Linked DNA regions of Oreochromis niloticus. The protein of the gene in region 1 purifies or fractionates together with the protein of each later gene. This does not show direct contact. Links are inferred from orthologs where the notes say so. Each region holds a gene or a part of one and is shown in the gene's direction. Other genes may lie near its edges.

Region 1 (7,093 bases):
TACAGATGTATATATGAAGAAAAAATAAGATAGCAACCTATTACAGAGGTATGACCTTTTCCCATGACACTTCCTGTGATTAATGCTCAACATCTGTGTATATAAAGGTGGTCATTAAATCATTGAATATCTTTTATACAGCGGCTGTAAGAGTCCAGTAAGCTGTAAGAGTTCTGAATTATTAGTGAGTTTTTTCAGTCATCACAAAGATTTCAGGTTAAACTGTGTTCATTGTTATTTGCTTGATATCCTTGCATTTAAGGCTGAAATCCCAAAATAATCCAATTCAAATCCAAAAAAGTTGCCCCATGATCAGAATTTTGATGTAGACTCTGACTGTATTCTTTCCACTTCGACTGACTTTCTCTATATAAGCTGGAGCCATCTGACAAATAACAGCAGGGAACCATTACAACAGAATTTAATCAAACTGCAATGATTACAAAACAGACACCGGTTTATAATGGCAGCTATTTTACACAAGGATAGTTGAAACTGTCCTTTCAGACTTGAGCTTCAGATTTAAGAGCAACATATATGCATGTCCTGGGGACAATTAAGCCCAAAGTGCAGCATTACAAAGGTCTTAGTGCCTTGTTAAGGATACATGATCAATGACACTGTGGCTTGGAATGGCCACAAGCTACAAACTGCCAGCTGGCAGGTCAAATCCAGCCCTGTGTTGTACTGATCAAATTGGAAATGTCTCTTTATCGAAGCAGTGGCTTTACTTCCAAGGTCAGCATCTTATCTCATGACTTATTAGTGAAAAGCATTTACTTTGTGTTTGTCTGTTCTGCAGATACCAGTTTCTGTTATTTTGAAGCTAAAGCTGCCTGACAGGGCTAATTTTATTTTGTCTGCTGGTACAGTACACCCATAAGAGGCAAAGTAAAACACAGTCAGAGCGAAATGTCAGAGTTGGAAGAGTTGCTCAACTTTTTGTTAACCATGGTGGAGTTAATGGCACTGTCGCCTCACAGCGAGAAGGTCCTGTATTTGAATTTGGGACCTTTCTGTGTGGAGTTTATATATTCTCACTGCGTCTCTTGCTCTGTGGATTCTTTAAACATTATTACTTAAAGAAAAACGTTAACCAAACCTTCACGATTCAGTCTAAGTGCATTCAGTTAAGTGTATAAAACACAGCAAAGATGCAAAGATTTACAGCAGATGATTGGCAGAATCGTCTGGGTCACTACTAGTGATCATGAATTGGAGAGATGATTTGACATAAAATCATCTTGTGAAATAGTTGATTAATTTGCGATCACACACTCACACTCATTCAGGACGAGCCTGTTGAACCTCCTCTTTTTTTGTTATAGTAATCCATGACAACGACCTAGTCCGTTACAACTTTATGGAGGTCTCCCAAGAACTGCTGATGAACTTCTTCATAATGATTGGAGTGATCTTTACACTACATCAGAGTACAGTAGTCTGGAAGCTGGTAAACTGTTCCCCAACTTAGAGACTCAAGTGTTCGGATCACTGTATCCAAGCATAGTGTCTTGTTTTGTTTTTTGGTGGGGTTATTTTCATTGTTTTGTTGCAATAACTGGACTGAAATAGAATTCTAATAGTCACTGTTTTGAATATGAATGTTAACCAAACAGGTATTAACAAATAACAGAACCAGGACAGTGGTATGTGTATATTTTAGAGTTTCAACAGTTTACAGTGTAATGAATCGAATCTGCTACTGAGATATTCAAAAGCACACACCATGTCTTTAGCACTTAAAAGTCTTTTTAAAATGATTTATTTTAATAATTCTTAAATATAGTTTACTATACAAATAGTTTTGTATGACTTGTTTTGGAGTTTTCAATGTTGATGTTTGACTATTGTTTAATTAAAAAAGATGATGAAAGTGAACAATAAATACGCAGTTTTCATAACTCAAAAAGTGACTCTGTTGTACTCATTCCTTTTAAGTTATGCCACCTTATTCGCATTAGAGACACAAATCAAGACTTTAAGTTGTATTTAATAAATATTTGTGAATATAATCATTAAACATTTTACTTTTAGTCAAATGTAATTAAAATATTGGAGTTCTTATAAGCTTCAACTTTTAAGTTCATAAACTTAAAAACCTTAGGGCAATCGATTGCATTAATTTATTGAAGTTGTGCTAACTTCTTTGGGTTTACACTGCATGTTACGTGGGTTATTGTTCGATCTCTGGTAAGCACTTACTAGTCTAAAGTTCAATAAGGGAAATGATATTCATTGTCTGCATTTAAAGCCTCCGAAAAATCTGCTGAGCATTCTCCACTGTAAGAACAAGATTAACTTATTTCTTTCCCATCAATGTCCTGAAAACAACTGCCAAAGGCATGAATAACTATTATAATAAAACATGAGGCAAGCTAAGAACTGGTTGTACCATTTTTTTCATGCTACACTTGTCATCCAGAATCACTTGTGTTAGTGTCATCTGAAAACACAAGTCTGTCATGGTGTGGACACCACAAAAGAAGAGCCTGTCCTTTTACATCCACCACAAGTAGGTCATTTATTTTGTAATAGTCATTTTCCACTGTCAGATTCCCTGGTTGGAGTTAGCAGTGGCTGTCTTTCCTATTAGCTCCCTCCACTGGAGCCAGAAAAACTTAATCTTTATGACTTTTGGATCCTTCAGTGTCCACTGATTTTTTTTTTCATATAAAATTTCTCATGTATTTCATGTTTAATCCATAATATAAATTAAACTGATTTATTCCAGTGGTAAATTTGTTGATGTCACAAATTATGCATCAAATGTGCTGTATATTACTAAGAGGTATCTTATGTCATTGCATAATAGCAACAGATGTGCAACATAGCCTCATTAATATATACATATAGTCATAAGTGGCTATCACAGGACTGTTAAGTACAACAGCAACACACATACCTTTTCCTGATACAGAGAGTCTAACAATCTCCTGAATGTGAACGTGAGTGAGCATTACACAATGTGTGTGTAAGTTCTCTGTCATCCATGTCATGGTAGTTTAAGGAGCTTGGAATGAAAGTGACTGGACTTCTTTAAGTTTTGAGGAGGTGATTCACCTCTCATTCAATGTGAGGTGAAACATCCAGCATTTTACATAATATACCGGTGAGCTTACATTGACCTGAAACATGGTGATAGAGAATGTCAGGTTACCGGTAACATAAACTGCTTTCAGGTTACGTTCTGTGAGCATCATTTTTGTTTTATAAGAGGGGCCTGCTGCACGTGTCTCTCAGTGCCATCAGCTAAGACCCCCCTATGCATGGCCTGCTCCCAGACCACACCATCCTCCCCCACCACTTCTGTCGGTTGAAGAGAGATGGCCAAGGAGAGAAAGAAGAGATCAATTGATTGTCCAGAATAAAGCTGTTCCTGCTGGTGAAGGCCAGATCCTGGCTCTGGGGTTGGGAGGTGGAAACGAGAGGAGGGCTCTGGGTGGGTGTCTGCAGGGGCTGGAATTGCTAAGAGGTTGCTAGAGTGGGGATTTGCTGGATTTGCATCTGGCCGGGGCTCTGCTGCTTCAATGAGTACAACTGAAAGGGCTTGATTTTGGCATCTTACACTGGAGTCCTGCAAAGTCCTGCTACAAAATAACTAAAGCTGGTTAAAATTATTAGTACATGTGTATTGTATATTGTTAATATGCTAAATTATACTGTAGCTTGACATTAAAGATATTAAACTCAGTAGAAACGGGAAGTTATTTATAAAATCATATAACAAAGTACATCAGAAAAAGAGACAGACAAAAGCTTAAAAAAAGCTGCTGTCCATCATATATTGTAATTATTCTGGAAAAAATTGCTCCCACTGTCAAACTTTAACTGGAAAAAAAGCCTTGTTTTGTTGTTATTTTCTATGATTGGTCAAACAGTAAAACATTGTGTATAAAATGCATGTATATCAAATGTGATATTCTTGAATCTGCACCTGTAGAAAGGTACGAGGCAGCACAAGTGCTGCTATGCCTTTAAGTCTAAACAATAAAGACAGCCTCTAACTTAAACCTGAAACAATGTAACCCGGACTCTGACTGAGTGACGAGCGCAGCTACAATCTTTACATATTTGTGGCTCAGCGGAAGTTGTCAAATGACGTCAGACGCATCCCGGTCTGTGAGCGGGACTCTCACAGCTGAGCGCCGAATAAAAAAAAAAGTGCTGAGGCTAACTTTGGCAAGAATCTGCGCGTTATTTCGGAGAAAATGGCCTTCGAGATGGAAGCGGATCTACCACCTAGTCTCGCATGTCTGAAAGTAGGTTGTAGCTTTGTTTGATTTCAAATGTTGTGTTGACATGCTGGCTGTTAGCCCCCAGCTAACTGAAAACCCCAGCAGTTACACTTACATCACATTCGTTCAATCTTTTCTCTATAACTCACGTGAATAACTGACGTGCTTACAGTTAGTAATGAAACGTTTGCTAACCTTTAAATACAGTGCAACAATGACAGAAGTCAGTCTAATTTAACTTTAATGTTGATCACAGCACACGAGCTAGAACCCCTTGCTCCTTAACATCAAAAGAAACTAATCTCACGGGTCTTGCGTCAGGTCTTCGCTGGGTTTCCCTTCTCCTCGTATCTGTTACTGTTCATCTGCTGTAGATGGCTGTGTCATATTACAGTATCAGTGATAGAACCACAGCATGCCTTTACTTTCTGGTACACAACAAAATTAGCCTAAACATAGCAAGAGACGATTTACATGATTCAGTTTAAAAAAAAAAAGGGTATTGAACAATCGCCAGCAAAGCGCAATAATTTGCAAATGTGCAAGAAAACTAATCCCGATAAAGGTGGAAATAACGATGTTGTTTCACTACAAAAACACCATTGAGTAAGACAAGGCTATAAAGGCATGCAAGGAGGAGACACTAGCACTAGCCTGGAAGCTGCAGTCACCAATAAAAGGGCATACAGTTTTTATTTTGTTGGTGTATTGTCAGAAATATTATTGCAAATTTCCTTTATGTTATCATCTTGAGGATATAGCTCCCACCCCTACCTGCCAGTTCTAATTTTGACCTCTTCTTGTTCATTTTCCTAATAGTGGTTTGGAAAGTGAGTAGTTGGTGCAAACATACTGTTTTGTTGTGGGTTGTAGCTTAGGACGTCATCTAATAATCAGAGGGTTGGTGGTTTGATCCCTGTCTCTTATAGTCTGTATGGGCAAGATACTAACCCCAAGTTGCTCGCTGATGTAACCATTGGCGTGTGAATGTTGGATAGAAGGCACTTACAGTAGAACAGTGCTATATAAAATTATAATTATAATTTTTCATAGATTCAGCTTAAGAAATGGGAGCAAATTATGACCTTATCCAGCAGGCTGCTAACATTGTGCCTAAATATGCAATTTAAATTTGGTTCTGTGGTAATTTATCTGTCAATTTGCAGAAACAAATCTGTTTTATCCCTTGAATTATGTGGGATTTTTATGTTTGGTTTATTCATAGGTCAATATTAAGTGGCTTAAAAATGAAGAAGAAAAGTAAAACATTCCTCTGAAAATGAGAGACAAAGCTGTGAATGACCAGAGGAAAATTTGAAAGGCCTTCAGAAAGTCTGGAGTCTATTGCTCAACACAGTTTAAAAAAAAAAAAAAATCACATGAAAGCCTGGCTCCATGGAAGCAAAAAATAAAGACATGAGGGATGACTCAGAATGTGTGCACAGTATTGTCTGCGGTCAGAAAAGAAAGGACAACTTGTATTTTTGGATGCTATGCAAACATTACATAAAAAAAAAGATGTGTAACCCTGAACATTCTTACAAGAGAACATTCTACATGAGAAAGGAGGGTTAGACAGTTTCCTGTTATTTAGTTGGATACACTGGTTTTAGGAAATGATATCCTTTGCATGGAAATGTATGGGCAATCCTTTGCTAAACGAGGACATTCACCAACGCTAGAGTACTACATTTATTTATCATACAGTGAGTAACATCTTCATCTGTCAACTTTTGCTATCCTGAATCTCTTTTTAAATTTATTTTCATCCTAAAATAATATATGATTAAAAGTGCAAAGGTTCATGCACGGATGCTTTGAGCCAGCCATACTTTTAGTAGGTAAAATATATTGTTGTTGTTGTTGTTATTGCCAGGTATTTGTTGATTTTAAGCTCTTTTTTTTCTCTCTCCCATCTACAGAATGTCGATGCGCTGCTTCGGTGTCCTATTTGCTTCGACTTTCTCAATATTTCAATGATGACAAAATGCTCACACAATTGTAAGTAATAGCAGTGCAGATGCAGTCATAAAAGATGTTCATGCAAATAAAAGGAAGAACACTGAGTGGATTTTTGAAACGAGCAAAATTGAGCTGAAATGATTTCAGAAAAGCTGAATTTGAAGCACAATCAGCTGTCCTTTGGTTGGTTTATGCACTATATCCCACACATTGCAGAGGCAGATCACCAAGTATATTTACATTAATTATTTTTGATCGTCTACCATAACGCAACATTGACGGGCACACATTACATTTCTATTGTTTTATTTTTAACGATTTAAAATGGTTTACTGTAGAGCTGCACACATCATATTATTTTTCTCATCTTCTCTTAACACTTCACCCTCTCTCTGTCACTCTTCAGATTTCACAATTTGCTTAATTAAAAACTGTCACACACGTCAAATAGTTCAGAGTGATAAAATGTCAACGGGCTGACATGAACTAACTTTACTGGTAGTGGAGAGGAGGACAACCTGATTAAATGGGTACCACTTTACTTTTTTTGTAATTGATTAAATATACCGAAACGTTGTGTTTGCATTTTATTTTGCAGTTTGTTCTTTGTGCATCCGGAAATTTCTTTCCTACAAGCTCCAGTGTCCAGTTTGCAATACAGTAAGTATGACCATGACTTGTAATGGAATTACATAATAATTAAGGACATTACCTAAAGAGACTTAATCAATATCAGTAAATATTGATTAAATTATTTAAGTAATTCACTGAAGAACATCACTTAAACATTGTCTCGCTCAACTTTAATTGTAAATATCACTGGATTTTGGACCCTATAGGCAGAATTTCTTCATATCTCACTTCTTTTTCTTTTAGCAAATGACAGAAGCAGA
Region 2 (7,295 bases), on another chromosome or scaffold:
CTGAAGGAGAAAAAATACTTGCAGATCAATCATCTTTCATCCAATCACACCATAGCTAAAAATGTAAAAATATACAGGAGATCCAACCAGGCAAATACTTTTTGGGAGGGAATAAGTACATATCTAAAGACACTACATGTTCACGTGGAAGACACAGAGCTATTTGGAAACTGAGAATTTTAGCACCACGGACAGCTGCCACTGTCCTAGTTGAGGGTCTCAACTGATTCTACATTTATACCTTTGACTGTTTGTTGAGCTTCTACCTCGGCATCATTCCTCATCTCTGATGCCATTTCAAAGTGGAGACATTGTGCCAAAAATAAGAGCAAAGCTCAGGATATTACGCTATAACAATATTTTCTGTATTCTCCCCATTACTAGTCTCATCTCTATTAATTAAAAGTGTTTGAAATCTAACTTGACTTTTCTCCAAAAGTATTTTAAGGTGTTAATAAACAAGTATAATCTAAAAATTGCATGACCACGTTTGAAGTAGTATGTATAAATACATTTTTTATATTAAACATTTTTTAATGAAATTTGGTCCAATTTTTAAATGATGTAACTTTATCATTTAATACCCTGCAATCAACAATAAATATATGTACAAAATTGCATGTTCAATTTCATTAATTGAGAACTGAGAAGATAAAGGCTGTATAATTATGCTGCCCTATTTAACCTAAATCTAAATCATCCTTAACTGACCTGTTTAAGAGGTTACAACCCTGTAATTCAGCGATTTTTATGTGTATTTAACACAGAGCTAGAGACCTCTTCAGTCATTGATAAAGACCCCCGTAGGATCCTTTGGGTGATGAAATATCCTGTTCACACTTACTGCTCTCTTACTTCATATTAAAAGTGTTAAGTTAGTGTCAGTTTCAGGACAAAATGCTTGCTTAATGGTCTCAGCAGCTTTAAAATCCATCATGATTATCAAAAAATGAAATAATGAGTGCTATATTTTGAAATTATTAAAATTTAAAGCCCATTTGTTCTACGTTTTCTTCTGAACAGTCAGTTGATTTTCTGACATTTAGTTGGTTTAGATGCAAAAATAGAAGTGAGTGAACATTTAAAACTATCACAACCTGCATGTTATTGTGTGTGCACTCCATTACTGCTTTTTAGAGTAACAAGCAGTTTAATGTTTAAGTCAGTCATTATTACTCATGCCACGGACAACAAGCTAGTTACAAAAGGGGTTTTAATACATTTAACAACTGCATGATCTAAATTACAAGAAAATATCAGTTCACACTGTAAAGAAGTCACCATGTTGTGTTTCACTATATCAGTGAACCAATCGAAAACATGGAACATGGAACTGCTGATGAAAGAGTCATGTCTGGATCTTGTACAAAATACGGTATATTATTTTCTTTAAGTCATGTGAGTAGAGGGCCAGTGAAGGGGGGTGTTCAGTCAATTCAGGGAATCAACTTCATGCAAAGACTTCAAGTATTAAAAATGAATTAATATCTATTAATATCCATTATGAATAAAGCTATGCAACGGTAATGAAAAAATTTAAAGTATTCTGATTTAATAATTTTTTTTTGGTAACTGAATTGAGCGAAGATCAACGGGGACATGGTAATTATTTTAAAAAATAAATAATCTTTGATACATGTGGTTGTTTTCTACAGTTGAGGGAAGTTAAGTGAGTAAAACAAGCCTTTGGAAATAAGTATTGGACTATTTTGACAAAAAATAAAAATAAAAAATCACTATGGCTTGAGCCAGAAATGAGCTATCTCAAACATCACACACTAATGTGTGCTAATATTCGCTCTGCCTAAATACTCTTTATTATCGTTTAGCAGCTGTCTCCAGGTCCTCAGCTGCAGCTATAAAACGGTGTCATTCACAGGTCATAACATGCAACATCATCAGCTGCATGCACATGCATGTTTAACAGTCTTACAGACATGATTTCACCTACCTGAACCAGGTAGGGACATAACCGGGACATAGTGGGTCTGTGTCTCCTCTGAAGCCGCCGGTCTGGACTCTTCTGCCTCCGAAACACGGTGGGACTCTTCCTCCCTCCCTCTCTCCCTCTCTCTCTCTGCACTGGTGATAAGATGCTCCCTTCTTCTCCTCTTCCTCACTGCATTTTTAAATCGGGTCAGACTCACTGCAGTGTCCCTGATTTAAAACCAGAGTTCATGCACATCACAAGGGTCAGTGATGCGTCGATTGATAACATTTTGGAAGAGATCGGGGTGAGAGTGAGGCTCCTGAGAAGCATATTTTAAAATAAATAAATAAGTCGGGGATAGGTGGCGATTTGACAAGCTTCCATTAAGACCCCCTGGACCAAATCAGCGCAACGTAAGAGACTGTTTATAGGCAGTCGCTGACTTTATGTAAACTTCAAAGAGACTCGTCAAACTTCAGTTTAATTTTTCCCTCCTGCGTTGTGTCTGACACGGACAGATGTGATGTACTTGTTATTCACTGCTGCAGCTGTCAAAAGAGAGCGGGCTCTGCTGCCACCTTGTGGTTAAGAGGTGATGCCACTGCTGCAACCTCACTGAATAAAAATTTACTCAACCTTAAGAAGTACCCTTGTAAACTTAATGGTTAGGTCGGAAAATAAGCAACCAGTACAGCAAAGAATTTGGCATTGCATGAAATCTCTATAAACCTACGGTACTGTGCAAAAATGCTGAGTGACTCTTCTTTTTTCTTTTTTTTTTTTTTTAAATATTTTGCTTCCAATGAGCAAGAGTTTCTTGTAATTTTTTAATGAAGCCTTCTGGGGGTCTTTTAAAGTGTTTTTTTGGACATACACTGCTTTTCGGCTCATTTACAATTCAGTGTTTTTACCTGAGAATTGCCAGAGGAATGTCTGTTTTTTGTAACCACATAAAAATGACATATGAATCATTCAAACATAACAAAAAAAACCACCCAACTCAAAGGATGAAACACTGTTGTGTCTACATGTAAGAGAAAACTTAGCAAAGAATCAAATTTAATTGTATCTTTAAGCAGTTTGTTACCAGCAGCCCATTAGAAAAAGGTATAATTTGTGTCCTGGTCCAAGTAGTCTTTTTTCCCACTTCTTTCTTTTCCTTTCTCTTGCCTGCTGCTCTCTCTCTCTCCCTCTCTCTCAGGTGGAGTTGTGGACCTGCTGTTCTCGCTGGCAGAGCTTCTGATTTTTTTCAGCCCTCATACCAGTTCCCTATCTTTTCATCAGATGCCAGTGCTTTAAATGATCATCTGCCAAAAAAGGATTACCGGTATTTAACCTGTTCTGAAATGCTTGTTGACCTATAATCAAACATGTTTCTTATCATTCATATTAAGTCATTTTGAGCCAGAAAGAAAAAGTAAAGTACAAGCTGTAGTTTAAGCATGATGATGATTTTTATGCATCCTTTAAATAGTATCACTAACTATAAAAAAACATTTTCAGGAAGCCATTCTTAAGGAGGGGAAACTGGGAGAAAATGGCAAATTACGCCAGAACTGGCCTGAAAATCAATGGAAACAAGTCTTATTGGGTGATGAATCAAGATTTGAAATTTGGTTCAAACCATCACCAGTATGTTTGGAAGAGGTCAGGGGAGCAGTACAACAGTGAGTGTTTACAGCCTTTTGCAAAATTTGGTTTAAGCCAGTGGTGTTGGAGATCTCTTCAAATTTGCTGGAATTAATAACACATAAAAAAAACACACATACAGCCAGATTTTAATGCAACACGCAATGCCTTCTGGAAAGCATCTTATTGGCAACTGCTTAATTTTTCAGCATGATAATTATTTTTAAACACAATGCCAATGCAATACAACCATAGCTGAAAAAAACCCTGCAATAGAACCTATCAGTCATGGACTGGCCTTCCCAAGACCCTGGACATCAACATTATTGAAGTAGTGTTGACAGAGAGTAGAATGAAAGCAGCAAACAAAGAAGGTCTTTTAGTGTCCTTGAAGAAACTTCGAAAACTATTAAACTATTCCCTAAGACTACTTGAAGAGATGACAAGAAAACTGAAAAGAAGAAAGAGTTCAGGCTGAGTTGAAGAATAAAGGTGGTCAAGTATTGACTTTCAAACTCGTTAGACTCGAACAAACTCTGTTTTTGTCTGATATTGGCAATATATATTAAAATGAAAAAATGCAAAGAAATGAAAAAAGAAAAACAAAAAAACAATCATTTGAAGCAAATAATTTAATCTATTGTAAGTTTTGAGTCACATAAATTTGTGTTAGATAAACTTAATCTGACAGTTTCCCCTGCTTTGACGTCACTTCCTGCATTTAAAAATGGCGGACGTCAACATTGATGTCCGTAGATGAACTGTGCTGCGGTTCAGACGGAGTGTTTGCAGCTGCTTCAGCATGAATCGATTTCTCGTCGAGCTGTAATAACAGGAGCAGTTTGAGGCAGTCTCGACAAGTAAATATGCTTTTTTTCTTTTACCTTTTTAATTTGCTTGTTTGCAGCCAGGGGATGAAATGTGGCGCGCTGTGCGAAAGTGCTCTCATTGTGTAACACTGTTTATACCACAGACTGTTGTGTGCTGATGGTTTCGCTGCTGACTGAATTCTCAGAGGATAAACTCTCCCCGCAGGGAAGGAGCTAATTTTAAAACTGCTGTTTGTAAGCCGTCGTGTAGAAGATGTATAAGTTAGCCAGCTAGCAGTGCATGTAGCCTGAGCCATAAGTGGGAAACACAGATACAATGTAGATGAAGTGAAGTGACAGGCTCCAGCTGTGGATGCAAACTTAAACTCTGACAGTTTGTCTTGTGGGATATGTCTCATTCGCTTTGATAGTTTAATACCACAGTAAGTACCTCATATAGTCTCACATGCTGCTTCCATTGATATGCTATCTTCCAGTATGAGCCTTGTTGACCTGCTGGTAAATAAGAAGTCTGTTGTATCCCATAAGAGGCCTTTACTGTGAAGCAGGGTTTCATCTTAACCAGGAAACTTCAGGGTCAACCCTCAGTTTTCTGTACTACAAAGGCAGATCACTTCTTACTGGGATCAACATCAACATAGTAGCTTATGGTGCCAACCTAAATAAGTGGACACGTTAAAGTCATTTTCCGGATTAGAAATCAACATTCATGATATCACCACCTATTGTTCTCTGGAGAACGACCTCACCATTATTGGAACAACCCTTGAATTCCATTTGTCCATCCATTTTCTTCCACTTATCCAGTTCTGGAGATTATCCCAGCTGTCATAGAATAGAATAGAATAGAATAGAATAGAATTAGAATTAGAATAGAATTAAACTTTATTGTCATTGCACATGTCACAAGTACAAGGCAATGAAATGCAGTTTGCATCCATCCAGAAAGTACTTTAGACGTGATATAGATATATTACAGAATATGGATCTATTATAGGTATGTTACAATGTACACGGTATGAAGGTATGTTATGAATATGCTATAACTATAAGTATGTACAGGCTGTAGTGAGTTTACAAGCTATGTACAGGCTATAAACAGGATATAAATATGATTAAAAATATGAAAACTATACAGAAATATGAAATATGAAACTATACAGATTGTAGATATACAATTGTGAGTATTAATAAACAGTTGTAAAACTATAATTATTACTGTACAGAATGATTGTCTATACTATTCATATGGTGAGAAGCAGGGTATACTAGATCGCCACATTATTGTAGGGTTAACACGGAGATAGACTCACATTCACCAAGTAACGTAAGGGATGTCTTTGGACTGTGGTGGGAAGCCAGAGTAAATGCAAACTCCACACAGAATCCAGACTGGATTTGAACCCAGAACCTTCTTGCTCTGAGGTGATGTCACTAATCACCACACCATCATGCCACCCAACATTTGAGCACTAAACATCAATTTAATGAAATACTTACTTATGATCAATATTGATCCCTGGCTCAGTCAGAGACACAAATACATGTGGGTTGTGTCAGGAAGGGCAATCAGCATAAAAACTGCCAAACGTGGCGTTATGCTGTCATGAATAGGGAAGCAGCTAAAAGTAGCTTTGTTACTTAATTCTAATCCATCAGACTCTCCTGTGTCTTAATGTCAGAGTATTTTGGGTATGCTGAAGTTGCACAGGACCCAAGTTTTCCCCAAACAAAATAACGTGGCTGAATAAGAGATCAGCCTTGAACATCACAGTTGCTGCCAACCTCATAATAACTGCTCACAAGGGATATCCACAATCTGTCGTTGAAGTGGTCTTATTATATTTAACTGTTGCAATCATGGGTGCTCTTCTTAAACAAAAAAGTTTATAATAATGAAGAAAGCTTATGTACAAGTAATCCCAAGGATCCAAGAGGTTAAACTTTTTAAAACTCCAGTTTCTAGTGGGTTTTTTCCTACTTTTGACTCTGTATGATGCCTCTTGCCCTACGGTAGCTGGGATAGGCTCCAGCCCCTCGCGATCCTGACAAGGATAAGTGGAAGAGGATGGATGGACTCTGTATGATGTCAGCATATTAATTCTAAAAGGATAATCTTAGACACAAAGCTCTAGCTGTGAGAACAGAAGCATTCATGCATGTACAAACATACCACAGTATTAATATAAAAGTCTTTGTAGAAACATTATTTTTGCTGTGGATCTACCAGCAGTTGATTAATGCTGTGCACGCTCAGGGACTCTGAGCTGGACACTTTCCGACAAAGTCATCTGATAAAGTCAGCTAAAAAAGGTTGTACCAAGGCACAGTAATAAATAAATATGGATTAAGTTGAAATGTGAATTATGCAAGAGTACTAGTAGAGTATATTAAGTCCTGCATAAGTGCATGTAAAAATGTAATGATTTAAGGAGGGATATAGGCTAAAAGGCAACATAAATAAACAAAATGTTTGGTTAGTGGAAAATTGGATTTTACTTAATTTTGTTTGTGTAAAAGAAAAGCATCCTCCAGCTGCTCCCGTATTTACCAGGGGTTGCCATACTCGGTAGCTCTGCATATTTAATTTGACAGATTTTTTGCACTGGATGCCCCAAAGGGATTTGTGTGTCCTCCGGAGATCTTTCACTCATTAGGTGAATGAGTAAACCACTATACTGTGGAGCCATGGTCTGTATGAAGGAAAGTTTTTATGATTAAGTTATTGTGTTCATTAGATAAGCAGCATTGTTCAGGGAAACTCAGGAAGGGTATTTTCTCTCAGCCTACCAAATATAAAATAGGTATTTGGCATATGCTACTGATGTGGTTATGAATGAATAAACTGCGTGGTGTTTATTTTTTTTTTGGTGAGCGTTTCATAATATTTGCCCTCTTTGCAGAGC
Region 3 (7,368 bases), on another chromosome or scaffold:
CATCCAAGTAAGAAAAACAGTCCTGAAATCTAAAATTATGTTAGTTTGAATTAGTTTGAGCTTTTAAAAATGGGGGACTATGTATACAACAGCCGTAATTCCCAAACAGTTAATGCAAACATTTTTATTAAACCCTTTAAATCACAGCTGAAACCACACGTGAATCTCACCTTGACCGTTTGATTTTTATGTATTGGTGTACTGAAGCAAAATAACAAAAATGAAGTCATTCTCCAAATTCTTATGGCGCTAACTCTACACCAGCGATAGCAATGACTATAGATTTATTACCAAATATTGGGAAATAAACTGCTGTAACTTACAACAGTGGCATCACACCCCTCAGATCTGGTGTTCTCTGAAACATATAACAAGACTGTCAAAATACAAATACAGTATTTTATCCCAGAATTTAATTAGAAAACTCACTCACTACGCATTTTCAACCTCCGTGTGAATAATGTTACAGGAACGATCAGTAGCTGTAGGATGAGGACAGATGTGAGAATCGTCATCTTAGTGGAATTGGAAGATAAAGGTAGATGAGGATAAAACTGACATGCTTTTTTCAAACAACAGAAACCAATTCTAAAACTGAACAAGATGAATACTTTTCCAGGAGCAAATTTGATCTTTAGTTTTTGTTTTGTTTTGTTCTGTTTTGTCTAATACTGGGGATATGCAAATTGTTAAAAGTGATAGACCTCTTGTATCCATCCTCCAGGCTTCCAGCATCAGCTTCCAGCCTGGAGGATGGATACAAGAGGATGGATGGATACAAGAGGATGATTTGTATGATTGAGGTTGTTGGCTGGGCTCTATTTGGTTCAATGTTTGTAAGGGAGGAGGAATGTTGGCGAGTGGTTGAAAGTGTCCTTGTGAAGTTCCTTGGATCAAAGAATGAATAAATTACACCCATTTATACCTCTCGGATAATGTTTTTTATTTTTATTTCAAACTTACCAAATTATTCACAGGTTATTTTTTAAGGGGCTTATGTCAAGACAGATGAAAATCAGTCACTTGGATTTTTTGAATTTTGAAAGTGATCAAAGCCAAATAAAATCAGCAGTGTCGTAAAAAGGTCATTTGACTGTTTACAGCCATTCTTTTCACATCATAAGACCATCATAAGATAAGTTGCATTGCTCCAGTGTCCCACCACTGCCTGAAGCTTAATTTCTCTGATTTGTTAAACCTTTGTGGTGCCATTTTTATGATAATTTGCCAACTTATGAAAACAGAAAGGTTATGTTAATATCTTACTTGTATTGGTGTGCAGTGCAGTCGTACCGGTTGAAGTAACTTCATGAACTATTATGTGCACTGGCATCTGTAAGTCTCCAATGACACACCAATACCAGCCGCTGCTCTCTGATCTCAGATCGCTCATAGTCACAGTGAAAAGATTAGGGACACTCGCATTTATTTTCACAGCTGTTCCATCTATTGATCCATCTTGATTGGTTACACAGCTGCTGCCCAGTCTACACCACATTACTCCCTTTTCTACTGGATAGTTATAGCAGCACACAGCAGTCATACTTTCTCCTTCAAAACCTACAATTTCCTGTTGGGTTACATTTAGACTTTTCATACCTTGAAGGGAAAAAAAGATACAGCCATTAGCCATTTTTTCTGCCAGGTAGTTCACTGAAATGCCTTGTTTAAAACATCAACGAGGAATTTAAAACCCTGAAATAAGAGAGTTTACTGTACCTGTGCTGACAGACAGATGAAAATATTGTTTATCATCTCTTCCATTGCCAGTCTCTATAGCACACCAGAAATACTTGTTGACTGTGAGATCATTATTAATAGTCACAGTAAAGATTCTTTGGTTTGTATCATTCGAGATGGAAAACTTTCATGATGTTTTCATTTGGCTTGTTTTCATTTCTTGAGAGCAAACTAACCACCAGTATCCATTACACAAGTATTTCACATGATTTCTGTAGAGTGGCTCATATTGACATGGGATAGAGACAGAACCCAGTTTCTTCACTGACACTTTTTTCACTGTAATAATTCCACAGTGAATTCCTAACAAATTAAAAGAAAATAGTTAATACGAGTTAATACCTTAAAATGTCCCCTGTATCACTTTTAAAATTCAAAATCATGGCCTAACAGTAAAATATTAAACACAATATTAAACGCTGATGATGAACCACTAGTGACTCATCTCTTTAAGTTAAATATTTACCAGCTCGAGGCTTATCTTACTTACCCAGCAATCCAGTGAGCAATAGGTGATAAATATATAGAAGAACCATGTTGGTACAGCTGCTGTGAGTGAGTGACTCCTTTCACTATCACAGGGAAAATTTCAACCTGGATTGCTTCCTCATTTTATTTATATTTTTGACAGTGTTTCTCTTTTCAGGGCTTTTACAATTGACTGCAATTCACCCAAAACTATCAAAAGTATATTTCATAATTTGCCTAATTTATAAGTCACGTGTTAGTTAAACATTGTTCAAAACCTCTCACTGGTTACTGTAAGGAATAAACTAGTTTGTCTGACTTTTTGAAATCTATTAACATTTTATTATTTATAACAATACAACGAGACAAATGAATAGATAATGATTTTAATGAGGATTCCCATTTGAGAGCCATTGGATCAAACCTGTTTTGATAGTTACAATAGCCCCTAACTACATCTGTTGGAATTTATCTAAATATATTTATTTCTGCAATTTATTAGTAGATCATTTGTGTTGTTTCACTATATATGTTTATTTTTATGTCAGTCATTAGAAGAATAGGTGGACTTATATTCACCCATGGTCTCTTACTGAGTTCTGTAGTTCTACCTCTTACTGGAGCACTCTGTAGACTGCCATGCAATAACTCTGTCCTCAGCAATCAGATCTTAACAATCTTGGGTACATCTGCCCTCAGAAAGAGACTGAAGTAACTCTAACAAGTTCTTCAGCATTCTTGAAGCCAAACACCTTCTTTACTTACCACTGTTGCATGAACTATACTCTTCATTTTTGTTGTTTCTGCAAAAAGGTCTTCTTTCATTTTACTTAAGGATAGCCCACAGATTCATAAAATGTTTACTGTGGCTTTTAGAATATAGAGAAGTATAGAGAAGGCCAGAAGAAGTTGTGCTGTTCCTTTGTGCATCTAGAGAAAGGTCCGAAGAGGGGAACTGTAGCATCGCATGAGAAAGTGCAGAGGGTTAGTAAGGAGGAAGCTAATGCAGCTATGAAAAGGATGAAGACTGGAAAGGCAGTTGGTCCGTTGGATAGACCTGTGGAAGTGTGGAGATGTTTAGGAGAGAGGGCAGTGGACTTATTCACCATATTGTTTTCCCACACCTTGGACAGTGAGAGGATGCCTGGGCGCTGTTGAAAAAGGAATGTAAAAAAGGAGTGTACTGGTACCAATTTTCAAGAATAAGGGGCAGAGCTAGGTTAAGAAGATGTAGTGTAGATGGCAAAGTATAGAGAAGGTCAGGAGTTCCACTGGTGGTCACTAAAGGGAGAAGGCGAAATACTTCAAAATTACACTATTAATACATTGCATTTTCCATATTTTGCAAGTGTTTTATCACTATCCTTAATGACTAAATGCCCTTCCACCCTTACTTTATATTATGGATGCCCTTGTATACACCCCCACAGTGTTTCTTGTAACTTACACATTGTGTATATAGTGTTTGTATATATTGATGTTTTGAAACTTCACTTTCTTGCACTTTTGTGGTCTTGCTAGCTAATTTCGCTGTGCAGGCAGTGTTGCCAACTCCTCAGTAAGGAAAATCGCTATTGGTTGTCCTAAAAGTCGCTAGAAGGCGCTAAATGACGTCATCACCTAATTTGCATAATTGGTCATGCTAATATAATTGTAACCTATGTTGTTGGAGAGAGAAATAACATCGTGGAAGAGACATAAAGTGAGTAAAAAACGTCCTAAATGCATTTAGAGTTTATTTAGAACTACAAATTAAATTTCTTTTAGCAATTATTGTTTTTTTTAATGTCACAATTCCAACCCTGCTCCTTCACCCGGGCTTGGACTGGCAAAAGTGATCCGAAATAGGCACTCTGGTGGAGTTACTTTGTGTGTGTGTGTTTATAAGTAGTTTTAAACCTTGTGATCTACAAAACAGCATATGAGTAAAAGAGTAAAAGAAGAACTGACTGTGTTACAGCACCCGCTGCTTGTTGAGAGTAAAAGCGATACGTGCTTTCACGTCTTTTTTAGCGACTTTTTTAAGAAAAAAAGTCGCTAGGGGGTCTGAAAACTCGCTAAATATAGCGACAAAGTCGCTAAGTTGGCAACACTGTGTGCAGGCAACTGTTTTTCTTCAGTGGTGACGACATTAGCAAGGGACTTCTTCGTCGACTGTTGATGACGTATTTATGTAACCCTCGAAATGCAAAGCGGTCGGTGTGTATTTTGGCGGTCCGTTCAAGTCCACCGAACTTTCAGTTCTGATGACAGCTGTGAATTAACAGCCCCGCCAAGAAGCGGACATATATCTTAACACCACCGATAGATTTTCATCGTTAACAATGGAGTACGGGAAGGAGAGGGTGGTGGCGTTAGTAGACATGGACTGCTTTTACGTGCAGGTGGAGCAGAGGCTGAATCCAGCTCTGAGGAATACTCCCTGTGTGGTGGCCCAGTACAAGACGTGGAAAGGAGGCAGGTGAGTTTCTGACACAGAGATGCTGTTTTTGTGATCGACGCAATTGAAACACCTAGCCGAGCTGCCGTTACGAAAACATTTTTTTCTGGTGTTCCTTACGCTGTTATGCATACACTCAGTGGACAGTTTTTTAGGTACATCCTGTTCGTACTCCTACCTGCAGAACTGCCTTAATTCTTTGTTGCATAGAGTCAACAGGTTGATGTAAAAGCCAAACGTCGAGTGCAGTGAACTCACTGGCATGTTCAAGAAGCCAGTTTGAGATGATTTGAGGTTTGTGACCTGGTGTGTTATCCTGCTGGATACAGCCATCAGAACATGGTTATACTGTAGCCATAAAGGGATGGACATGGTAGGCCGTGGTGTTTAAACAATGCTCAGTTTCTACTAAGGGGCACAAACTGTGCTAAGAAAATATCCCCCACAACATTACACCACCACCACCTCCACCAGCCTGAATCTGAACTCATCAGACCAGGGAACATTGTCCTATCAGTCCTCTCTTGTCTAATTTTGGTGAACCCATCTGAACTGTAGCTTTAGTTTCCTGTTTTTTAGCTGACAGAAGTGGCACCTGCTGTGGTCTTCCGTGGCTGTAACCCATCTGCTTCAAGGTTCATCGTTTTTTGTGTTTAAAAATGCTTTTTTTGCATAACTTAATTGAGTGGTTATTTGAATTTGAGTTCCTGTTGCCTTCCTATCAGCGTGAAGCAGTCTAGTCTTTGACCTCTTAGTTGCACAAGGCACTTTCACCCAGAAAACTGCTGGTTTATTTTCTCTTTTTTCAGACCATTCTCTGTAAACCATAGAGTTGGTGTTAGGGGAGAAAATGCCAGTAGATCAGCAGATTTTGAAATAATGAAATACTGGATCAAACAAAATGGTCACTAGATTACAGAGAATTTAAACATTCCCCTCTCTTTTTGTAACCCACTGGTGAATTCGTTCCCAGGACTGCGTGTGTTCAGTTGCATTGACCATTTGAATTGATGTCTCTGTGTTGGCAACTCACCCGCCTTCATGTCCCACAAATAACCGCTTTGACACCTTCTAAAATGTTTTCACACTTTGATTGTTTTGTGATCCTTGACTAAATGTTATTGTTTCTTAGTATTATAGCTGTGAGCTACGAGGCCAGGGCCCATGGTGTCACCAGGAACATGTGGGTGGATGATGCAAAAAAACTGTGCCCAGACCTCCAGGTGGCACGAGTGCGTGAGTCTCATGGCAAGGCAGACTTGACAAAGTAAGTGCTGCTGCTCATGTACATCCCCAGAGACTTCCTCTTTTTAATTGGATCAACATTAAATCTTTGGATCAACACTCGATCAACATTAAGTCTTTAATTAAATTTACGATTATTTTTTAAATTGCCTTAAATTCTTGTGGCCAAAGCTGTACTGCAAATAACTTCTTTCTGTCCCCTTTATAGTTACAGAGAGGCGAGTGTGGAGGTGATTGAGGTCATGTCTCGCTTTGCTGTGATTGAGAGAGCTAGCATTGATGAGGCCTACATGGATTTGACTGCCGCTGTCCAGCAGCGACTGAAAAATATGACTGACAAACAAATCGAACCTTCGCTCTTGAGGACTACCTACATCCAGGGGTACCCGCAAAGTTCACCTGCAGCTGAAGAATCTGCAGAGGATACTGTGCTGGATAAAGGTAGGCTGTAAGCTAACTTCAGTTACCCAATGAGTTGTTTCTGCAGTTGATACAGAAAGCTGTCGAAAAATAACAGCTAAAAAACAATGGCAGGCTGTATCCTCCTAATAACATCATGTTTGTGCTCAGAGGAACAGCGATCCAGAGGTCTCCAGCAGTGGCTGGAATCTTTAACGTTCCCGTCAGTGGGTGAGCAGAGCTCTGCAGAACTGCAGCTAACTGTTGGAGCACTGATTGTTGAGGAAATGAGAGCAGCTGTGGAGAAACACACAGGTTTCCGCTGTTCTGCAGGAATATCACACAATAAGGTAGGATAAACTCCTATTTAATAGTCTAAGAGCGGTAACTGTGTTTGCAGAGATAATCATTTACCGCTCACTTTTCCAAGGTATTGGCTAAACTAGCCTGTGGTCTGAACAAGCCCAACAGACAAACTGTTCTTCCTCTGGACTCTGTGACAGAACTTTTCAGCAGTCTCCCCGTTGGCAAGATGTAAGTTTAGTTATGTCATTGCTTACATTGACAGAGTGGCAGCTAAAACTTCAAATTAAACCCTGTGCTCTTGTATTATTTATTTCCCTGCAGCCGTAACCTGGGGGGTAAGCTGGGAACTTCAATCACAGAAACTCTGGGAATAGAGAACATGGGCGATCTCACTCGCTTCTCTAAGGCTCAGTTGGAGCAGCACTTTGGAGAAAAAACAGGGTGAGAGAGCCAGAAATGCCTTTAAACACTGTCATTTTGATAATGGTGACATAACTTGCTTAAGAAAATAATCACATGGTGTTATTAAAGTAATAACAAGTAGTTTTGCACTTTTAAACTTCCTTAAACATTTCTGAACTTCTGAACTTGAACTTCTGCTTCAGAAAAGAAACTTTGTAATTCTGGAAACCCTTCAGTACTACAGGGACCTTAAACTTTATCCTGCTTCCTTGTTTAATGTAGTCAGTGGCTGTATGACTTGTGCCGGGGGATTGATTTTGAAGCTGTGAAACCAAGACAGCTTCCAAAGTCCATTGGCTGCAGTAAAA
Region 4 (7,256 bases), on another chromosome or scaffold:
CTCATGATCTTGACTGTCTACCTTATCACTGGCTTTGTAAGAGGCACAACTCTTGTAAAAATGTATTGGTCACTTTTGTCTTTGCTATAGGGAAATATGTGGATACAATATCTTCCTAAAATATGCTGTGTTAAACCATCCAGATTTCAGAACGCAACAACTTTTTCCTCAACCTAAAAAATGCCTATGTGATTAGCCTACACAGAGGGAATGAATAATACATGACTTCCCAATCTCCTCAATAACCAAATATTACTTGTTTTTGTTGTTGTTTTGTTGAGTAGTTACCATCATTCAACAGTATTAAAGTACCCTGAGCAATGAGTCAATTACAACCCTTTAAAAAAAAAAGACAATATTGTGACACTGGAGCAGATCATATATCTTAGCTTATTGCAAATGCCATGAGTTCAGCAAACTTAAATACTGCGATCCTAAAGATGCATTTAGTGCACATGCACAAAAAGACTGAATGTTGAAACATGATTACTGTACAAATGACAAAGATGAGACAAAAGCAAATATATTAATATGATTTAAACTGGATGAATGCAAATGATTAAAACTGGCTGATATATGTTGCAGGAAAAAAAACAAACAAACATGAAAAATCATTACCTTTGAGAGGTTAGTACTAGCAATTGCTTTTGCTTTTACACCACTTTTTAACTCATAGATAAATGATCATTTATCAGAATTATTGTTTTCCAATGTCAGTTTGTTAACTGGGGCTCCAATAAAACCTGGTTCTAACTGATAGAAGCTGGATCATCATGGTTTACTCCCTTAAACATACCCAGGGTTGCACATCTGTAAATCCCTAATAAACTGGGTCCCATCTCAGAAGCTGAGAGAAGTGTAATAAGAGATGAAACCCACTGTGCCAGCTTCCTGCTTTAAAAGGTCTGGAAGCGACTCAGAAAAGTGGCTGTCAGACTTAAGAAAAAAAGGCATGTAATGACAATCTTAAGATGGAGAAAATTAACTGAAAATATGACGATGATGATGATGATGATGATGATGATTATTACCTCACACAAAGAGGTTATTTTTTTGGTAGCACTTGCAAGCCCGGGTCATTCTGTCTGTAAACAGTTTGGCAGTTTGAAAAGTTTAAACTTTGTAATGGTGTAGAGTTGAGTCGTGTTAACAATCTATTGAAATTTGGCTTACATCCACCAAGGTCCTCAAGGTCAACTTAATGATTCACTGGTTGAAAATGGATAAAAAGCCTTATAACTTGCATAAGGCCTTATATAAACTATAATCTTTACAAGTGTGGTGTGTATTGTAAATCTATAGAAATTACAACATAAAGATTTAAAATACCACGTTACATTTGACTTCTGACCTCTCCTTCAAGGTCAATAGACTGATCTGAAGGTGAACGTTATATTGCTATACAGAGCTATTTAAAATGGTTTCTTAATGCCATTGTTTGAATTGACAACATAATAAAAACAATTTAGGGAATGATATGTGGGGATTCTAAATATCAAGTTAGTTTGAACTTCTGACCTCTTCTTCAACATCAAATAAGGTCAAACTTTCAATTTCTTTTATCTTTAAAATCATGCTTAAAATTCTGCTGTCTTTGTGGGTATTGGCAACATTTAGAAAATGATACTGAATATCACATTATAGTTTGCATTCAATATCATGTCACATTTGACCTCTGATAATAATAATAATAATAATGATAATAATAATAATAATGATAATGATGGTAATAATTGCTGTTCTGGATCCCAACAAAAACTGTGTTCAGTGCATTATAAATCATATAAACCTATATTTTATTCACAGTAGAAAACAGGAAATAACAAGTGTTTAAACTGATCTAATGTACAATTTCAAGAAAAATATTAGTTAATTTTGAATTTGATGGCAACAATCTCTTAAAGAAAAAAAGTTGAGATGGGGGCAACAAAAGGCTAGCAAAGTAAATGATACTAAAAAGAAAAAGGAAAATTTGCAACCAGCTTGGTTAACTGGCGACAGTTCAGTAACATGGATGGGTATAAAATGAACATCTGAGAGAAGCAGAGTCTCTCAGAAGATGAGCAGAAATTCACCAATCTGCAAAAAACTCTGTGTACAAATTGTGAAGTTTCAGAGAACTGTTCCTCAGGTGCCACTTTAGCTCAGTGGGTGAGCAGGTGACCACATGCCAACTCATTGGAGTGCTGGGCACAGGTCCAAGTTTGAGTCCAACCTGTGCACCATGTCTTCCCCCTCTCTGTCTCTACTTTCCTGATTATCTTCACTACTCCACAATCCAATATTCTTTTTTAAATGCCCAAAAAAGAACAATGTTAACTGCAAAGGCCTGTATGCCTGCTGTTATGGAGGTGCATTAGTACCTATAGAATTGGCAGCTTACACATCTAGAGAGGCACCATTAATTCTGAAAGGTATATACACGTTTTAGACCAACATATGTCCCAAACCCTAACCCCAAGAAAACTACATACTGCAGCTATGACATCAATAACATGACTTCAAAATAGAAGAATCTGGGTGCGGAACTGCCTGCAGACCAGGCCTTTCAGCAACTGAAAACATTTGGCATATAATGAAATAAAAAAAATACAACAAAGAAGACTGTTGAGCCAGAATTCTCTGTCAGATAAAACTGGGACAACATTCCTCTCCCAAAAGTCCAGCATCTCTCATCATTTCCCAAACATTTATGGACTGTTGTTAAAAGAAGAGGGGATGCTACACAGAGGTAAACATGACCCTGTACCAAAATTTTTTGAGATGTGTTGATGTCATCAAATTCAAAATGACCTTTTCATTCTTCTTTAAATGATACATTTCTCAGTTTAACATTTGATATGTTTTCTATGCTCTTTCATAAAACAAAAATGTGGGTTTATGTGATTTACAAATCATCATGTATCATCATCTGTTTTTTATTGACATTTCACACAGTTTTCCTATTGTCCAGATTGGGTTTGTAAATGTTACAAGACTCATTTCCAGGATTCGACGGATAGAAGCTGATCACCGTAAGAGTTGAGCTGGTTACTGTCACTTGCTCTTTATGGGGGTGTTTGGCCAAGCACTGACACATTCTGACCTTCCAGATCACACTTTTTTTTTCTTTTTTTCTTTTTTTTTTTTTTTTTACATCCTAATAATTTCATCCATACAACAAAAGAAAGGGATAAAGACTGCCTATCATATTTATAAAACCTCATCTAAAAGCAAAATAAGCAACTGTAACTAGTTAACACACTAAAACCAAACTGTGCCAAAACATTTATCAATTAATGATTAACTTATTAACAGAATTTTCCTCTCGTTATTAATTATAATTTTATGATTACAAAGCAAAGACTTAGCCATATTGTTGTTTTGATAATGAAAGAAAACCACAAAGAATACAGACAGGCCCTGCTGAGACTGTTGACTTTTACCTGCTTGTCGTAGTTCCTGCCATACAGCCACACACAGACCTCTCAGCTCACAGCATGCAAGGAAGTGGTACTGCATTTGCTTATTTTGACAGTTTATCTGTATCTTAAAAAAGGCCGTTTCGTGTGTCGCATAAAACAAGAAAAACCCGAATGAAACCACTCGACTGACTCAGCGTTGCATGTTATGCGTGTCCTACCTTACAAAAGCTCTTACTTAATCCATCCGGTGTTAATCCATTACCGGCGGGGAAAATGTGACCGACATCATTTGTAGTCACTTCATGCTGATATCTGTCTGCGACAGCTATTTGTAGCTAATAACAAAAACCGAGACAATTCAACAGCCAATAAAAATATGATATTGCATTACTATGACAGGATATCTACCGCTGTCACCAAATATTGCACTAAGCAGTTTATGTACACAGTTTCCCGGGCAGCCGATATGGCAGAAGTCGCATTTCACTTTTATTGGTTATCTATCGATAAATATCCCCGTTACTCAACCACTGCTGCACAACATCTAGTTATTTTTGGCGATTTCCGGGGACTGAAAGCGTCCGTGACAACAACCTGGAAGTAGCTCTATGAAAACTTCCGCTTGGTGGGAAATTCCAACTGACGAATCAAATGGTAGGGAAACGCTTTCGCATTCGGGAATTAATAGCATAATTTTTACATATCAAAGATGATATTTTATTTAAAACATATATTTAATATATTCTGACGTCTTTTTTAAATCAAGTATATAGCCGTTTGTTATTGACAATGCATGTTAAAAATGTTACGATATGAGAGATTCCCCCCCTGTCTTTCCAAAACAATTGGATTCCATAAAGCTTCTCAACCTTGCAAGTTGGGTGGTGTACTCGCGTGTAATTTTTGTCATTAAACTTATCGTTTGGCCGTTATGTAAAGAGCGAATGCGCCATGGATTTTTGTTTGGGACGGTTAATGTAGCTTCGGATAAAGTAGCCACACACTGGTCGAAGTTTATTCACTTTGTTGGATGTTTATGTCAGTGACGAGAGTTTGGCGCGCCCGGGTGTAATTGGAAGTTACCACTGGTGGTATGACCGAGGTACTTGATCAGCTGTGCCATTAAAACAGTTGACATTGCTTATTGAATAGAAAAGAACCGATATTTTTTCTTGTTTATTTATTTCTTCTTAGTTAGTCTACTCTGACGCTGCAAAGCAAATGATATGCCAGCAAGCCTTAGTTAATTATCAGTTGAATTCAATTTTGTCACGATTTGCGTAAGTATTGACTTTTTTTGATGAATTTTGTAAACGCTAATATCCTTGATGTGCAGTTTGAACAGTACATTGTTCTTCCTGGTGTACCAAGAGTGAAAGCTTATCGTGGAAACAATCTAAGTCGTCTAGTCAAACAAGAACTGCAACATTATATTGGCCAATGAATGATGCAATCTATCTTAACTTATTGTCTCCTACAATTTAACGAAGTACTTAATTTTGGCTCTTCTTCAGTTTCTTCGCGAAGATGGAGACCTGCACACACGTCTTCCAGATTTCTGGGATCAAAATCCGCGATGAGAAGAGAGTTCTGATCCAGGGAATTCAGCAGCTGGGTGGGAAATACGTTGGTGGCTCAGTGAGTAAGATTGAGATCCCTCAGTAGATTTTAGGGAAATGCCACGTGCACTTGTGCCCAAGCTGAACAGGTTTGCAGCTTGTGAATAATTTCATTTTTCTTCCTGATGCATTTAGTCTTTATTCAGCCTGTGCGATGTAAGAAAACATAATAATTAGAGACTAATCATAAACTAAAGTAATGAAGAAAGTGTTTAGACACCAATCAAAAAGGAAATGCACTTGTTCCTAAAGTAGCTGACTGAATGAATTACTTGCTGTGCTTGCTGTCAATCATAATTAGTTCTGTGGAAGTCTGTGTTCTGTGTCTTTATCTTGACAGTCCAAGTAAAGTTTTCAATTGTATTTTTATATTTATATACTGCTTTGATTATCCCTCTATACAAATGAGAACAAAACTATTAGCCCCCAGTGTATTTGTAGAATTTCAATTCAAGTGTTGTTAAACAGCAAGGATCTTTTTTTAACACAGCTTTTCCAAGCATCCTAGTTTTATTTTGGATCTTATTTCACACACAGAACCAAAATTATTGCACAAAACCCCAAAACTATGAGGGTCAAAATTATTAGGCCTTTGTGCAGGTCAGTCAATAGCGCTAACTTTGACCTTTGGTTTGCGTCGTCATTATGTTGAAAGACGAAGCAGCAAACCAGACCCAGTTCTGCTGCTGACTGCTTAAGGTTTTCTTTCAAAATCTTCATATCCTTTTTTTTTTTAATGATTCCTTTCATGGAGATGAGATTCCCACTTCAGGACGCACTGAAGCACACAGCATAATACTCCCACCACCGTGTTTCACTTTGGGGATAGTGTTCTTTGGGTTGTATGCCTCACCCTTCTTTCTCCAAAGATACGCAGGGTCTCTCTGGCCCTGGTTTTGTCTCATCTGACCAAAAGATGTGCTTTCAGCATGTGTAGTCTTTCTGCAAATGTGGAGTTTTTCTTCATCTGCAACCTCGCAGTCCATTCCTGTGCAGGTGTCTAATGATTGTCTTCTTTGAGTATACAATTTACAACTTGGCTAAGTCATTCACTAGTCTCTTGGAAGTTGTTCTGGGGTCTTTAGACACATGGAAACACTGTGATGACTTTGTATCCATCTCCTACTTTGTCCATCAACAATTCTTTTTCTCAAGTCTAAACTGTTTTCTTTCTGTTTTTGTCATGAAGCTTTCTCCTGTGACAGCTTAAACTCTTGCTGAAGTTTTTATACTGTGTGTAAGTTGGAAGGTAGCTTTCAGTTTTCACATGATTTTACAAATTTTGAGCATTTGAGCAAAGCTAGTGTAGAAATGCTGTTAAAGAAGCACTTGGGAAATTTCAGACAAAAACTTTAAATGTCAAAGGGGAGCTGATTATTTTTGCCCTGATTTGCAGCTAAATCAGATAGTACAACCTAGCATCCTCATCTATTTTTGAAAAGGTGATTATGACTTGTTGTTAAATCTTAAAATGGCACATTATAATATATTTCCTGCAGAAAGTGTTTTTTTAATCATTAACTTACATGATGAATATGAATAAATGAACTGGGCATCCACCTAAAAGTGGAACACTGTTAGTTGCACTGAACATCTGTTGTTGATTTCAAACAGCAACTTTTGCATCATTGACAAGCTCCACTTACAAAAATGTCTTGTGATGATTACATATAACCACCTTAAACTACCTTCTTATAGGTATATCAGCACACTTGCACCCATCTCATAATCCCTCAGGTGTTGTCCAGTGAGAAGTTTTTGGCAGCTTGTGCTGCAGGTGAGTCATGATGGCTGTGAATTTCATGTCGGTGGATCTTTGTTTTTGTTGCTATTTTAGCCTACATACATTTAACGTAGCCATAAAACGCTTCATTGTTTCTTAAGTTTTTTAAGTCCTAGAGGTAACATAACACGTTTTATTGAATTTCTTCCCTCTTGCTGCTCGTCTCTTGTTAGGAAAGTGGGTTGTAACTCCAAACTACGTGCTGGACAGTGTTAAGAATGGCTCCTGGCTCGCAGAGGAACCCTATGAGGTGGCCATTTCCACAGGTTCCTCCGCTGCCTTCTACCCTGTCAAACAGTGGAGAGAGAAGGTGGCTAGTGGGAGACTGAAAGGGGCCTTTCAGGGCTGGAGGGTGCTCCTTATGGTCCAAGGGTCCACACGCAGAGCAATGTTCAAACGGTTAGAGTCACAAGCACGTGTTGTCTTTTAACCCATGTTCGAATAAAACGA

Evidence for each region.
Region 2: the proteins of rad18 (region 1) and shprh purify together in Homo sapiens (affinity purification with western blotting; 3 studies listed by BioGRID and IntAct, with this or other methods). This does not show direct contact. The link is inferred for Oreochromis niloticus from reciprocal best matches to the Homo sapiens genes RAD18 and SHPRH.
Region 3: the proteins of rad18 (region 1) and polh purify together in Homo sapiens (affinity purification with western blotting; 7 studies listed by BioGRID, with this or other methods). This does not show direct contact. The link is inferred for Oreochromis niloticus from reciprocal best matches to the Homo sapiens genes RAD18 and POLH.
Region 4: the proteins of rad18 (region 1) and slf1 purify together in Homo sapiens (affinity purification with mass spectrometry; 4 studies listed by BioGRID and IntAct, with this or other methods). This does not show direct contact. The link is inferred for Oreochromis niloticus from reciprocal best matches to the Homo sapiens genes RAD18 and SLF1.

Annotation. Positions count from the first base shown.
Region 1 is NC_031970.2:22,246,686-22,253,778, forward strand, and holds the start of rad18 (E3 ubiquitin-protein ligase RAD18), read left to right. Parts: upstream 1-4,075; 5' UTR 4,076-4,211; coding exon 4,212-4,262; intron 4,263-6,160; coding exon 6,161-6,239; intron 6,240-6,798; coding exon 6,799-6,860; intron 6,861-7,076; coding exon 7,077-7,093. UniProt on the Homo sapiens protein: E3 ubiquitin-protein ligase involved in postreplication repair of UV-damaged DNA. Postreplication repair functions in gap-filling of a daughter strand on replication of damaged DNA.
Region 2 is NC_031983.2:20,481,463-20,488,757, reverse strand, and holds the start of shprh (E3 ubiquitin-protein ligase SHPRH), read left to right. Parts: upstream 1-4,272; 5' UTR 4,273-4,419; intron 4,420-7,292; 5' UTR 7,293-7,295. UniProt on the Homo sapiens protein: E3 ubiquitin-protein ligase involved in DNA repair.
Region 3 is NC_031978.2:15,456,889-15,464,256, reverse strand, and holds the start of polh (DNA polymerase eta), read left to right. Parts: upstream 1-4,356; 5' UTR 4,357-4,532; coding exon 4,533-4,669; intron 4,670-5,780; coding exon 5,781-5,915; intron 5,916-6,101; coding exon 6,102-6,334; intron 6,335-6,463; coding exon 6,464-6,642; intron 6,643-6,722; coding exon 6,723-6,826; intron 6,827-6,919; coding exon 6,920-7,039; intron 7,040-7,282; coding exon 7,283-7,368. UniProt on the Homo sapiens protein: DNA polymerase specifically involved in the DNA repair by translesion synthesis (TLS). Due to low processivity on both damaged and normal DNA, cooperates with the heterotetrameric (REV3L, REV7, POLD2 and POLD3) POLZ complex for complete bypass of DNA lesions.
Region 4 is NC_031977.2:14,783,344-14,790,599, reverse strand, and holds the start of slf1 (SMC5-SMC6 complex localization factor protein 1), read left to right. Parts: upstream 1-4,236; 5' UTR 4,237-4,497; coding exon 4,498-4,506; intron 4,507-4,598; coding exon 4,599-4,684; intron 4,685-4,918; coding exon 4,919-5,042; intron 5,043-6,721; coding exon 6,722-6,800; intron 6,801-6,979; coding exon 6,980-7,205; intron 7,206-7,256. UniProt on the Homo sapiens protein: Plays a role in the DNA damage response (DDR) pathway by regulating postreplication repair of UV-damaged DNA and genomic stability maintenance.